2 linked regions of the Yarrowia lipolytica genome follow. The protein of the gene in region 2 interacts with the protein of the main gene of each other region in a pairwise test. Links are inferred from orthologs where the notes say so. Each region holds a gene or a part of one and is shown on either strand. Other genes may lie near its edges.

Region 1 (5,348 bases), about 2.3 Mb from region 2:
AAAATGACCGAGCTGGAGCGTCTGGATCCCGATCCCATTGCCCAGCACGAAAAGTTTCTCGCCAACAGCTCTGGTCGACTCGATCAACTCAAGGCTCTGTCGTCCCATGGCTCCGAGAAGATCCACCCTCCTGTCTGGGAATACATCAACTTCATGATCGAGTCTTCTCAAAACTCAAAGCTCGACATCCGGACCCTGGTGGCCGGCATGTGGGTGCTCGAGAAAGTCTACAAGGAGGCCATGTTCTACATTGCTTCTGAGCGGAAGAAGAACATCAACTCACCCAAGGCAGTCCCCGAGACCATCGAGGGTGTGGGAATCGACTCAATGATCTCATGGTGGGCCAAACCCGACTTTGAACAGTTTGTCGAGAAGCTGGGTGTGCTGGCGAACAAGTTCGATAAGGTGCAGTTTGATGGAGAGTCTACAGAGCACTATGAGGAGGTGAGAAAGCAAACCAAGGCTTTTGCCGAGCAGCTTCTCGAGATGGAGAAGAAGTTCTGGCCTGTCCTGGAGTAGAAAAATGCGTCTGAGTGAATAAATGAGTTGTGTATGACGGTCAACGTTCTATGTACACTTCTGAATCAGTAGTGTATCTTGTATGTATACTATATAATAGGAGAGCTCATAATTGAAGCCCCTCTCGTGTGCTTCTACTGTACCATAACTCACACTCACAACCGACAGTAATATTGCGTATATTATTGATCTAACGTTCCGATACCACTCTCCTCCTAATCTAACATGCACTGTCTATTAAGCATCCTGTACCTTGGCATAACTAGGAGGCTTGAGTTTTGCTTTTATGGCCTTGGCAGCCCACACGGGGATAAGGGCAGCCGAAAGAATGACAGCCACCTGCCAGTATAAGTCTGGCTTTTGAAAGTATTCGAGGTTGAAGTACTCGCCCAGAAACGGAATGGAACCGCAGTATAGCCCGAGAGATACCACCTCGGTAATTACCATGGTCTTGTTCCACTTGATCACCTCCAGAGCCACCATGAACAGCTCGTTGAGAAGTAGACCCGTGTATGAGACAGCAACCATGGTGGTGAAGAGGGTCTGGTCGAGACCGGTGAACACCTGGGCCAGTCCTTGCACAATGATACCTTGGTACAAGGAAATGAGCACCCAGATGAAAAAGGTGCTCCATGAGAGCGACTTACCCTCTGTCAGCTCCTTATACAGCTCCGGGTAGAGCTTGGCCAGGTGCTCGTCCACATCTTTATCGAGCACCAGCGAAAAGACGGGCATCATGGTGTACACCGTAGCATAGCCTACCATGAGCCATCCTTGATAGAGAGCCAGAGGCTCGAATCGAGATGACACAGAATACACAGTTTGACACACGGAGATAATGAGTCCTCGGTGAATGACAAACAGCGCCAGTTTGGCCGACCGTTTGTATGAGTTTCTTCCATGCCAAAGCAACAGCTTGGTGAGATGGCAGAACTGAGTGATGGAAAAGTCAGCTGCCAGACTGGCTTGTCGGCCCTCTTTTCCAACAATACCAACTCCCACGTCGGCAGCCTGGATCATGGAAACATCGTTGCCTCCGTCTCCAATACAGAGCACCCGTTTCTTTGTATGCTGTCTGATCAACAAGGCCATATCTGCTTTCTGCTGAGGATGGCATCGACAAGCAATCACTGCGGGGAGTTTTGTGGCCACAGTAATGAACTCGGTCTGGTAGAGGTTCAGGAACTGCTGTAAGGACTCTCCGTCAATCAACAGAGCAGCATCAGTCTTGAACTGCAGGTACTCCAATTGATCCAAAGCAGCCTCGCGGCCCTTGAGTTTTGTGATTGTGTGCACATGCTGGCCACGTGACACAAGTTTGGACGATACGGCCACACATCGAGCCGTCTCAACCTTGTCTCCGGTCAACATCCAGATTTTGATGCCTGCGTTTCGCAGGAGCTCCAGAGACACCTTTACGTCCTTCTGGAGTCGGTCCTCGACACCAGTCAGACCCAGAAGCTCCAGATCGTGCTCCAGATGCTCCGTGATCACGTGAGCGATCGCGTGATCTCGTCTATGCATTGCCATCTGCGCCTTCGCATATGCTTCAGAAAAGGCCTCGTACGACTTCTTGGACAGCCGCTTTCGGCCCACCACCAGTGTTCGTAGACCCTCGCGAGCCATATTTGCTGTCTCCTCCTCCAGCCAGTCGTTGGTCTGCACAATGCTAGCCATGACGGTATCGGCTCCCTTTTCAAAAAACCAGTAGTCGTCTCCATCTCGAACAACAATGCCCATTCGTTTCGATTCGGATGTGAATGGGAACACGTTGAGAATCTCGTATTCCCGTAGCTGGCCGGTAGATTCCAGTTGCAAGACCATAGAGCTTCTGTCTCGACGAACAAGACGAAGGCCGACCTCGGCAGTCCAATTGACAATGGCAATTTCATCGGGAGATGCAGCCTGATACGTCAGAGTGCCGTCTTCGTAGGAAGGAGTGACAGAATGACAAATGGCCAAAGCTGTGACAATGTCTTTGACTCGGTTTCCGATCTCTCGTCTTGATCGAGGTCCGGCTTCCCCGCCAGAGTTGACAAAGTCGCGCACTTCGTCCATGGCCTCCCCGGCGTACGAAACAGTGCCCACATGGATCTTCTTCATCTCCATGTCGTTCTGGGTAAGTGTTCCTGTCTTGTCGGAAAGCACGTACTCGATTCGGCCAAGGTCTTCGGGAATGGTGGATGTTCGCACAACAGTGTCTGGAATGGAAGAGTCATGCTCAATCTGGTATGCGTAGACCGACTTGGCCATGTCGAGGTTGACTCGGAGAGAAACAGGGATGATTGTGGAGAAAAGAATGAGAAAGCGCATCACGTCGACGTACCATTCTTTTCCAAATCCGTGGAGTGCCACAAGAACAAAGGAGAGCAAGAAGACGCAGAAGCAGAGCATTTTCGACAGAGAGTTGAGCTCGAGTTCAAGCAGACCGGTTTTAGTGCCTGCTCGAGATGTGTTGAGAGCCTGGCGGGTTTCTGCGCCTACGTAAACAACGATTCCAACGGCTGTTCCGCTGGCGAGAACCGTGTTGGCCCACATTGTGTTGTCGACTGAGAGACCCATGGAGTCGGTTCCAACAGTGACCTTTCCTTCAAATTGGTGGATGGATTTTCGCGGCGGTTCTGCCGTGACTGTCACGAGATCCTTGAGATCGGTTTCCGACAGCTTTTGGGTGATGTGAGGTGCGATTCTTAGTTTCCAGTCCGTTTCACCGTCGAGTTGATCGGTTCGAATAAAACACTCAGCTGATTCTTCCGACGACTGGAGAAGCACCATGTCTGCGGGGACACGCTGGTCTTTGTGGATCTGGACGAGCTGGCCGACATGGATGTCACGTGAAGCGACCTGGGTCACCTGATCCAGAACCGTGTAAGTTTCTGAGTTTGATTCATTGTCTCTTCGTCGTCGCAGGATGTCGTCCCATGCCTCCTTTCCCATCGTTACCGTCAATACAAAGGCCAGGGGAACGACGTAGGACGACAAGTAGCCGATCCGCAGTGCCGGAATGGCCTGCGACAAAGCAACCAGCAGAAAATAGAGATTGAAGAAAAACTTGAATTGCTCATAGAGAATCTTTGGAATGAATGACCAGGGCGAGTACTTGGCGTTGGACACGGCGTTGGAGGTGGACAGATCGGGATGTCGCGGGTCGATGACCCGTTCTTCTGCCTCGGCTTCTTGATTGTGACGGTTGCGATGGTCTCGGTGTCCTCGCCGCTCGGTCTGGGGACCGTCGCCAATCAGTGGCACGCTGTCCTCGTCCATGTGTGGCTGTAGATTGGCCAAGGGGATACTTTCCGACATACGGCGGGTGTATTGGTTGGAGAGAAAAGTGACGCCCTTGACGTACACGTGGCGCAGTAGACGGACAGGCTGATGGGGGAGGGAGAGTAGTCGTCGGTGTGTTCGTTTCACTTTGCACGGTGGGGCACGACTCTCGGGAGGAGGTCGTCTGCACTAGTGGAGGCGTGGTAGGGTCGTCACGTACAGTCGTAGTGTCTTGTTATGCCTTCTGCGCAGTGCTGTGGTGTTGTGCGGTTGTGCTGTATGTATGTTTTATGCACACTAATTATACCGTCCCTCCCAAAAAAACGGCCGCTGACAAGATCTGAACTAAGCACCTATAAAGTTGGCATATAGGGGGGTACAGTCAAGACAAGAGACCTGAGAGAGGTTCTAGAGAGAGATATGGAGAGGGGGGAGGGTGTAGTATGGGTTACGTGACTCCAAGGATTGCTGTGGAGGGTTTTATCTATTAATCCCGTACCTAAAGGGTTTGTTAGAGACACCCGATAAGTTGCTCTACATGGTTGAATGTAGAGGTGTGAAGGTGACTATGACTAAGAGGCACTCCATTAGTACAGTAGCTACGAAGCAAGGACTGGTGGAAATACACACCTGTCTCACGTGATTCTATTAGGTCTTGTGATGTGACTTCGTACAATTAATCAATCTACGAATATCTCGAGGCTATGTTGTGTCTGACTCGAGGGTCAGGCACGTGTTAGGTACAGGTAAGTGGGACGTGAACTAAGAGTAAACAAAATGACTCACATAGAGACGAAACAAGCTAACTATTGCAGTCAGATGGTCAACTAATTAGTTTGATGTAAGTTGAAGACCAAGTAAAATACGTACACCGATATCATTCAATGAAGCCATTTTGTAGGTCTAAAAACGTTCAAATACACCAATATATCGTCGAATAACACTTTCTTATCACTACAAACTGTACCCATCGCAGCTAACACCCCTTCTTCTCGCCTAGTGCTACTCACCACTATCTCCACAAGGTTTGAAATTTGGCGCTGAGCATAAACGACAAGCATGGACTATCGGAGATTCACAACACCGCCAAATACAAGTCCAACTAACACAAAAAGAGTGGAAGCCATCGGATAAAATCAGCACACATAATGAACTCAACTCCGGCCAATTCAACGCCTCTACCGCCATTACAACCCTTCACACCAGGCTCCTCGGCTGCAACGCCCGCACCAATAGCTCTGACCAGGTCCAAGCCCCGTAGACGGCTGTCGTCGAACGTGGTGGGTGTGTCGGACCGGCGGCGGCTGCTGCAAATGCTTCAAAACGTGGAGGAAGTGTCTCCAGGTCCCGATAGTGCAAGTGAAGCGGGAGAGTCGCCGTCTATTCGATCTCAAGATGAAGCACATCTGGAACATCTTTCTTCGGCGAGAATCTGCATGGATGAAGACAAGGAGCTGTTGATTCATCAGGCGCTACCAGCATTTGAAAATACGCTGCTTCGGTTCGTACAGGCGTTGTCCAAGTACGACTTTCGACAGGATCTGGCAGAAACCCTGATGGAG
Region 2 (7,361 bases):
ATGTCGTTTCCAACACCTTCCACGTCATCAGCCAACTATGAAGAGGTCTACGAGCCCAGCGAAGACTCCTTCATGCTCCTGGACGTGCTGGAAATGGAACAGAGCTACATCAACAGCCATCTGTCATACCCTGTGGTGACAGAGATCGGAACCGGATCAGGCATCGTCACCACCTTCATGCTGAAATCCGTGGTGCCCAAAGGCGTTTTTTTGGCTACAGATATCAGCCCCTTTGCATGCAACCAGGTTCTGGCCACGTCAAAAGAAAACAACGGCACCCAGTACCTCGAGGCGCTTCGTGGAGAACGTACCACAATGATGAGACCTCATACCATCGATCTACTGGTCTTCAACCCTCCATATGTGCCAGACGACAAGCCCGTAGAACCCTACCCGGAGACAGATGGTGACTGGGTCGATTGGGCACTTCTTGGAGGTGAAGACGGAATGCAGGTGACTTGGAAGGTGCTACTAGAACTGAAGACCATACTGTCAAAGAACGGAATCGCCTACATTTTGTTCTGTGCAAGCAACAAGCCAGAACAAGTGGCTGTCAAAATGAGGGAACTGGGATGGATCGTGACGCGCATTGTTGAAAGAAAAGAAGGCAGGGAACTTCTAAGTGTCTACAGATTCGAGCTGAAGTAGTAGACCATCATTGCATATTAATTACATTTTTTCACACGCATACATATCATTCATTCATTAATCTATTTAGTATAATATATCATCTTTACTCCTGGATATCGGCCAAGAGATCCAGCTCACAAGCCTCCTGATCAGTCTCCTTGAGAGCGTAAACACTTTCGTAGTTGTAAATGGAGAGCCGGTCAAAGAAAGGCTTTAGCTGTGCAAGAGAGGTAAGAGAACCAATCTTCTGTCCAAAAAGCAAAGGCCGTCGCTTGGAAGTCTCCTCCAGATGAAGATCATCACTGCTGACAGGCGTAGACTCAGCCAACTGATCCAGAATACCGTAAGGGTGTCCGTAAATAGCATCACTGGAATCGGTGACAAACAGCCATTGATCCAGCTGGAAATCCTCCTGGTTAAGCACCAGCACAAGATCGAGCAGCTTACAGGCACTCATCACGATTCGGTTATCCGTCTCCTTACCTTGCAGCAGACCCTCGAATATAACCTGCAGGTTGTGGGCAACCAGAGGCCAAATGGGAACCAGATGAGTGGCAGAGAACCGCATAACAATAGCACGCAGTGCAATGAACAAGGACTCGAGCTCAATCTCATCCAGAATGCCCTTGATCTCCTTCATATGAAGCACAAACTGGTCTTCCTGGCCAGAAAGCAACAGGTAACACAAACGTCGAACACTGTTACCTCGAGAGCCCCAGTTGAAGACACCAGATGAGCCGGTGATGAGCTCAGAAACCTCCTTGGTGCACGTGGACCACTTGGACAGAATCTGGGGCCAGGGAGCCTCGTAGACAAAGTTGTCCTCGATGAAAAAGTCGTGAACGGCACTCTTCCACACCTTGACGGTTCCTGGGATCTGAGTGATGACGCCGAGTAACTCAAAAGACCGTTTGGGGATCACGACGTTGTTCACAATGCCCTGCAAAACGGAACTCACCTTGTCTTGGTCAATGAGAATCGTTCGCAGAACAGGAACCACCTTCATGAGAGTCTGTTCATCGGTAACCTGTCCGACCAGCTTCACAACAGCATCAGAGATTTCCTTGCTCACCTTTCGGTTGGCAAAGTTGCTGCCATCAATCTTGACTCCAATAATAGTGAGGGTCTGAACGGTGGGAGACAAGATTTCCTTGTAGGGCACGGGGTTCAGCATGACGGTTCGGGCGAAACCCATGTAGTCCGTGTAAATGTCCTCTACAGCGTCGTTGGATAGAGACTTCACATAAGCCAAAAGGAACGAGGCCGTTGACTTCTTCTGGTCATCTGAGAGACTCTGAAGCAACTGGCTCACCGACAGCTTGGGCCGAGAGCCATCCAGAACATGCAATACCTTCAACACATGGGGCATATCATCCTCCGAAAGCTCGATCAGCATTTGAAGAACCTCACCTCGCTCGAAAGAGAACAGCTTGTCGAGAATTTTTCGAGCTCGGAATTTCAACCGCTGGCCAAGGTAGACAACGCTGTCCAAAGTGTATTCCTCGGCCTCCTGTCCATCGACCTTCCGCCACAGATTGAAGCAGCTCTTGACGGCATTCTGGAAACACAACAGAACAATCATTCTGTAGCCATTGCCCTTTGTAGGCTCCTCCAGAGATAAGACACCATTGACCACGTTGGTCATCCACCCCGTGGAGTTGAGATTTAGTTCCTCCTGCGAAGCCTCGACCTTGGTGTAAGCAAGATAAAGGGACTCGAGACAGTATTCCAGACCTGTCAGGTAAGGAATAATGGAGTCAGACAGAGGTGCCGTGACATCAGTGACTGTATCGCCAACTGCAGGGTCCTTCTCGCCGTCCTTGTCGTCAACTTCGACCAGAACCTCCCTGGAGCCTGTAGAAAGCTTCTGCAGAGAAGCAACGGGGGTACCATCAACAAGAGCACACAGTCTCTCGACGATAGCAATGCTAATCTGGAACAAATCAGTAGAGTAGATTCCGAGCAGACACTCTAGGAAGTGAATCCATCCCGAACTGATGATAACGCCCTTTCGAGAAGACAAGCCATGCAGAACAACAGCAATAAAAACACCGGGAATGTTCACATCTGAGGTTTCAGACACCAAGGGGATGTCCACAGGACCGTTTCCAATGAACTTTTCGCTCTTGGAAAGCGTCATGGAAAGATCCAAGGCCTGCAGAGCCTTGGCAAGAACTGCAAGCACGATGACCTGAAGCTCCGAGTCCTGGTTTACCAAGTCAGACAGCTTAGTCACCAACACGCGCACAAATACCTCCCAATTGGCTTTGGAAGTAGGGAAGAGAGGCGAATCAAGCAGAATGGAACACAGCTTGAGCACTGCAGACAGAGCTGAACTGTATGCCAGCGTATCAACAGCCTGGAATTGCAGAAAATGAGCCATCAGGTTGGCAGTCCAAGCGGCATAGGTGGATTTGCCTTCATAGTAATCGTTGATGTCAAATTCTTCCACCTCCTCCTTGTTGAAATGGAATTTGGCCATGCTAGAATTATTGGCAGAAAGAACCTTCGTGAGAGCTGAGACGTGGTATGCGAAAAGAGCCAGGTCATCGGACTCTTCAAACAGCAGCTTGCCTTCAACGGTTGGCCGGCTGAAAAATGCGGACTTGGACAGAGGGTCTAGGAGAAGTGAGAATAGTTTATCACACGACCCGCTCGAAGCCACTGTGTTGAGCCAGTAAGAGCCAGCAAGAGATTTCTCCGATGCAAAAGCCAGGGAAATCAGCTCATTGGACGACACATCAGAGGCGAGGAATTTGTTTTTGCCTGCATTGCTGCCATAGAGCTCCAACTGAGAGGTAGGAAGAGGAAGCAAGTCGAGATACAGGAACAAGGGTCGAGCCAATAACTTGGAGAAGTTGGGTGCCGAAAGAGAGTGCTGCCAAATAGCCGAAAACACTTGTGACTTCTCATCACAGGGTTTCGAAAACAGAATACTCAGAGCAGCCTCCACTTCCCTGTCATCGCTACCGTGAACAGCCTGAAGAGACCACAACGCCTTGACCAGCTCTGCATTGTGGAAAGGGCCGTTGTAGTACTGTGAGTTGGGGGTTAATGATGTGAAAATGTATCCTACCAGAGCAAGAAGATTCGCTGGGAACAGCGGGTACAGCCTGGTCCATCCCAGGACAGCCACGGGAGGCAGAGAAGGCAGGGGAGAGCTGGAGAAGGGGTCGAATTGAGCCACTGCTTCTTCACCTGCCAGCTGTAGAGTTTTTTCCAGCTGTTCAGACTTAAAACCAGAAACCTGCTTGGCTTGTAGCTCGGAAATGATGAGTGCAAGCTTGGAGAAGATGGCTGGGTTATTACTACATTCAGCAGTGACCTTCTGGAAGAACTCATCAGCCAAGCGAGTGGAGGTCTGTAGAAGCAACAAGTAAACATCAGCAGCTCCATATCCATCGGCCCACTCGCCATCGTAGTACTCTTCGACCTTGGACTCAATAGTGGACACTTGGAAATCGCCATCAGTGAGCGTCGAATGTTCCACTGGTAAAAATGCCCGCTCGGGGATGAGTTCAATCAACAGAGTAGCAATCTCGTTCCACTCTTTCCACTGAGAAAAACGTCCAGACAGAAGATGGCTCAGTAGTGCCAAAGGAGCATGCTTGACAATCATCTCTTCGTCCGAAAGATTGAAGGTTTGAAGTGTGAATAAAGCCAAAGATAGAGAGCCAGTCTTGAGCATCTTTTGAATGTCGGCCCAAATGTTGATTGCCTCCACTGAGTCAACAAAGGCGGAGGCTGACAACACAATATCCTGGTAGTCAGGTCTCTTTTCACAGTCGTAGACAGATTGGATAATGGGTGTCAGAATCTCTGGAATCACAGTAGATCCAATTTCCCATCGATCCATCAACGAGAGAGAAATCTTGGAAGCTCTCACTGGCGAACTCAGAGCCAGGATGCCCTGGACAAGCGCATCTCGGCCGTGTGTTGTAAAGTACTCCTTCATGGAAACATCATCGGGTCCAAGAAGCCAGGCCCACAGCCTTCGGTTGAGAGACATGTCCTTTCTGAGCACGGCGGCACATGCGCTTGTCATCAGCAGAGAAATGTCGCTCTTAGAGGCCAGGCCTGTAATGACAGGAGAATCGAGAGGCAGGTTCTTGACTAATAGTTCCAGAAAACCTCGCTGGACAAGGAGTTGGTCGTCCTCTAGCCCCCGACAGAAGGCCCGGATCAGCAGGCCACATTCCGGAGTGACAGCTGACTGGGCTTCGTAGGATAGACTGTGAATGATCTTGTCGGATTCATTGATGCCCTCGACCTTGGAGAACTGGGGCAGTTCTTTGTATGCATAAACCAGCGCTCCTTGCCTCTTATCTGGAGCGGATACAATGGTGAGGAAGAAGCATTGCCAAAAGTAGGGCTCATCATGGAGACGTAGCTTGAGCTTCTGAATGAGATCAAAGCACGCCTGGAATGACTCACTTGACTCGTCGTCGATACCGGGAAGCAGTGAGAGCAGCAGCGGTCGAATTGTCGTTTTGAGAGTCGCTTGAGGCAGCTTCTCCACAATGTCCTCCTGAAGTACCTCAATCAAGATGGGCTTGACGTTAATGGATGCATATGCCATGAGCGGGAGCAGTCCGGGGAGCCAGACTCTGATTCCCTGGGCCACGGGGTCCACCGATTTGCCGTCCAGACTCTTGTGATAGTCGCCGATACCTCGCAGTATCTCAAACACCTGACGGTACACCTCCAGGGTCTTCTGGTGCACTCCTGACGGCAGGTTTGGCAGCAGACACCAGGCCAGTTTGGAGGCAATTTCGCTCTGTAGCGGCAGGTAGGATGGGTTGGAATGGCTCTTGAGTGCTTTCTGCAGCTTGCCAATGAACGAAATGTAGTCTGCCCATTCGTCGACCGAGTCCCATAAAGCCAGCGACTTCTCTAGTGCTGACGTGTATTTCTTCATTTTTGGGTCTGAATTAGTAAGTCCTGTCATTGCACACACTCGAACAGTCGTCGTTAGTGCCGGATCATCGCTGTGGATCTCTTCTACCACCCCCTAACGCGTTCGTGACATGTCCTCATGTTGAGGCGTTCAGTGCTGTAAGAAGAACAGACACAAACAAAAAAAGAGCTTGCGTGCCATAACCCTCTTCATACTTACCTTGGGTCGCATCCTTGGACCAGAATGGCAATGGCGATATTGACCGAAACATGTTGGTGATACCCTTATGTTGTAGCTGACAGAAGGTTCAGATACACACAGCATGATGATGCGTGTGCATGGCAGGCTTGGGTGGAAACAATAGGACACATATTGTAACGTCAAGAGGCGAGTGAGAGTGAAGGAATGAGTGGGTTTCCAGATCCGCGACCACCCGATATCGTATCTCTGAACGCTTTTGTCGTGCCACCTGACTAATCACTCCGGCAAAGGTAGACACGTGAAACTACCCTAACCCCCTGATGGGAGAGTGACACGTTTCAGATGTTTTTTGTTAGCTTTAGTTAGGGGATTAAGTAAATTCCGTGGGTTACGTAAGCGCGGACAGACATCCGGAAGACCAAAAATAAAATAAAAATAAAAAAATGATACAAGCACAGTAGAGAGCAAAGGGAATAGTCATGCTGATTGAGAAGCTCCACGGTAGGTTAGATTTGATGCCCTAACCTATTAATAGGAACCCACTTTCGGGGAACTTGTAATTATGGAAAGAAAGACCTCACGGTGTGTACTGTTTTCACCACCTCAACAGTTGGACACTTGTATCTCTGAGTAAGATGACAAATTCACATCTTAAGCTTGCGAAGAGAAGATTAGCGATAGTAGAGGTATATTATTCATTCGTTTTCCTAAAACAGAAGAACGTCTTTGCAGATGCGTTGGCTAAACCCCATGGACGTAACGCTCGATAAGGGTGGGACTAAGAGCGATAGTCGGAACTGAATCTTGACTTTTATGGTGAATAAGACCATTTCATAATGTCTAGCACGGCCGAAATTATTGACTATCGAACTCTCTGTCCTATTATCTGCCGTAGTTCATCGCCAGCGATTGGGTCTCGTGCCATCTCTTCCCGGTGTAGGAACCACACCCTGCAGGAGGCTTTTTACACGAACGCTTGGCTAACTTACAGCCATATTAATTGATTCTTGCCCCTTTGGGATTCACCACAGACCGCAATCTGCACATGCTACTCCACCTGAGTTCATATATGTTCGTTAGGATGTGCGTGATGAGCTGTGGCCCGGTTGTGCTGTCAGAAAGACGTTCACTTTTGGACCAAGTCTCCCAGTTGTCCCCGAGTAGCAACCTATAGACCATCTATGGGTGACAGAGATGATGAGTCTTAACTGTAGGTTGGGCGCTATAGCGGCAACGGTGAAAAAACGCTCACACAGCATATTTCTTTTGGGATGCTGGTTGGTAAGAAGATCGAGCGAATTAAGGCCCACGGCTCCCGGGTCAAGTCCATCCGCTACAGGTATCATGCAGCAACAGCGTTCATTAATGAGCTCGCGGCATTGTTTTGCATACCGTCGTGCTCAATAGGCTCGATCGGTATTCACTAAGTCGAGATGGACCAGTGGTGGAGAAAGTAGACGACGTAGACTGGGTCAAGGAGAACCCAGCCTGGGGACGAGGCCTAGATGATGGCGACAAAGCGGTATGACGACATCTGTACTACCGCCGCCTTCAGCACCATCCATGGCCTCAGCTGTCTCAGACCTCAGCCAGCCACAGACAGCTTCAACTGACACAAACAGAAGGCTATTTT

The links.
Region 1: the proteins of YALI1_F24469g (region 2) and YALI1_F01838g interact in binary tests that used the Saccharomyces cerevisiae proteins (3 or more experiments, as listed by UniProt). The link is inferred for Yarrowia lipolytica from reciprocal best matches to the Saccharomyces cerevisiae genes DOP1 and NEO1.

Annotation. Positions count from the first base shown.
Region 1 is NC_090775.1:179,986-185,333, forward strand, and holds YALI1_F01838g (uncharacterized protein), read right to left. Parts: upstream 3,823-5,348; coding exon 757-3,822; downstream 1-756. Other genes in the region: YALI1_F01796g (uncharacterized protein), read left to right, coding at 1-519; YALI1_F01849g (uncharacterized protein), read left to right, coding at 4,935-5,348. UniProt on the Saccharomyces cerevisiae protein: Flippase that catalyzes the hydrolysis of ATP coupled to the transport of lysophosphatidylserine, phosphatidylethanolamine, and phosphatidylserine from the lumenal to the cytosolic leaflet of the Golgi apparatus membrane and ensures the maintenance of asymmetric distribution of phospholipids.
Region 2 is NC_090775.1:2,441,362-2,448,722, forward strand, and holds YALI1_F24469g (uncharacterized protein), read right to left. Parts: upstream 5,799-7,361; coding exon 5,747-5,798; intron 5,557-5,746; coding exon 734-5,556; downstream 1-733. Other genes in the region: YALI1_F24413g (uncharacterized protein), read left to right, coding at 1-648; YALI1_F24478g (uncharacterized protein), read left to right, coding at 6,461-6,500, 6,554-6,732; YALI1_F24486g (uncharacterized protein), read left to right, coding at 7,253-7,361. UniProt on the Saccharomyces cerevisiae protein: Required for traffic between late Golgi and early endosomes, and for the normal structure and organization of the endoplasmic reticulum. Required for normal cellular morphogenesis.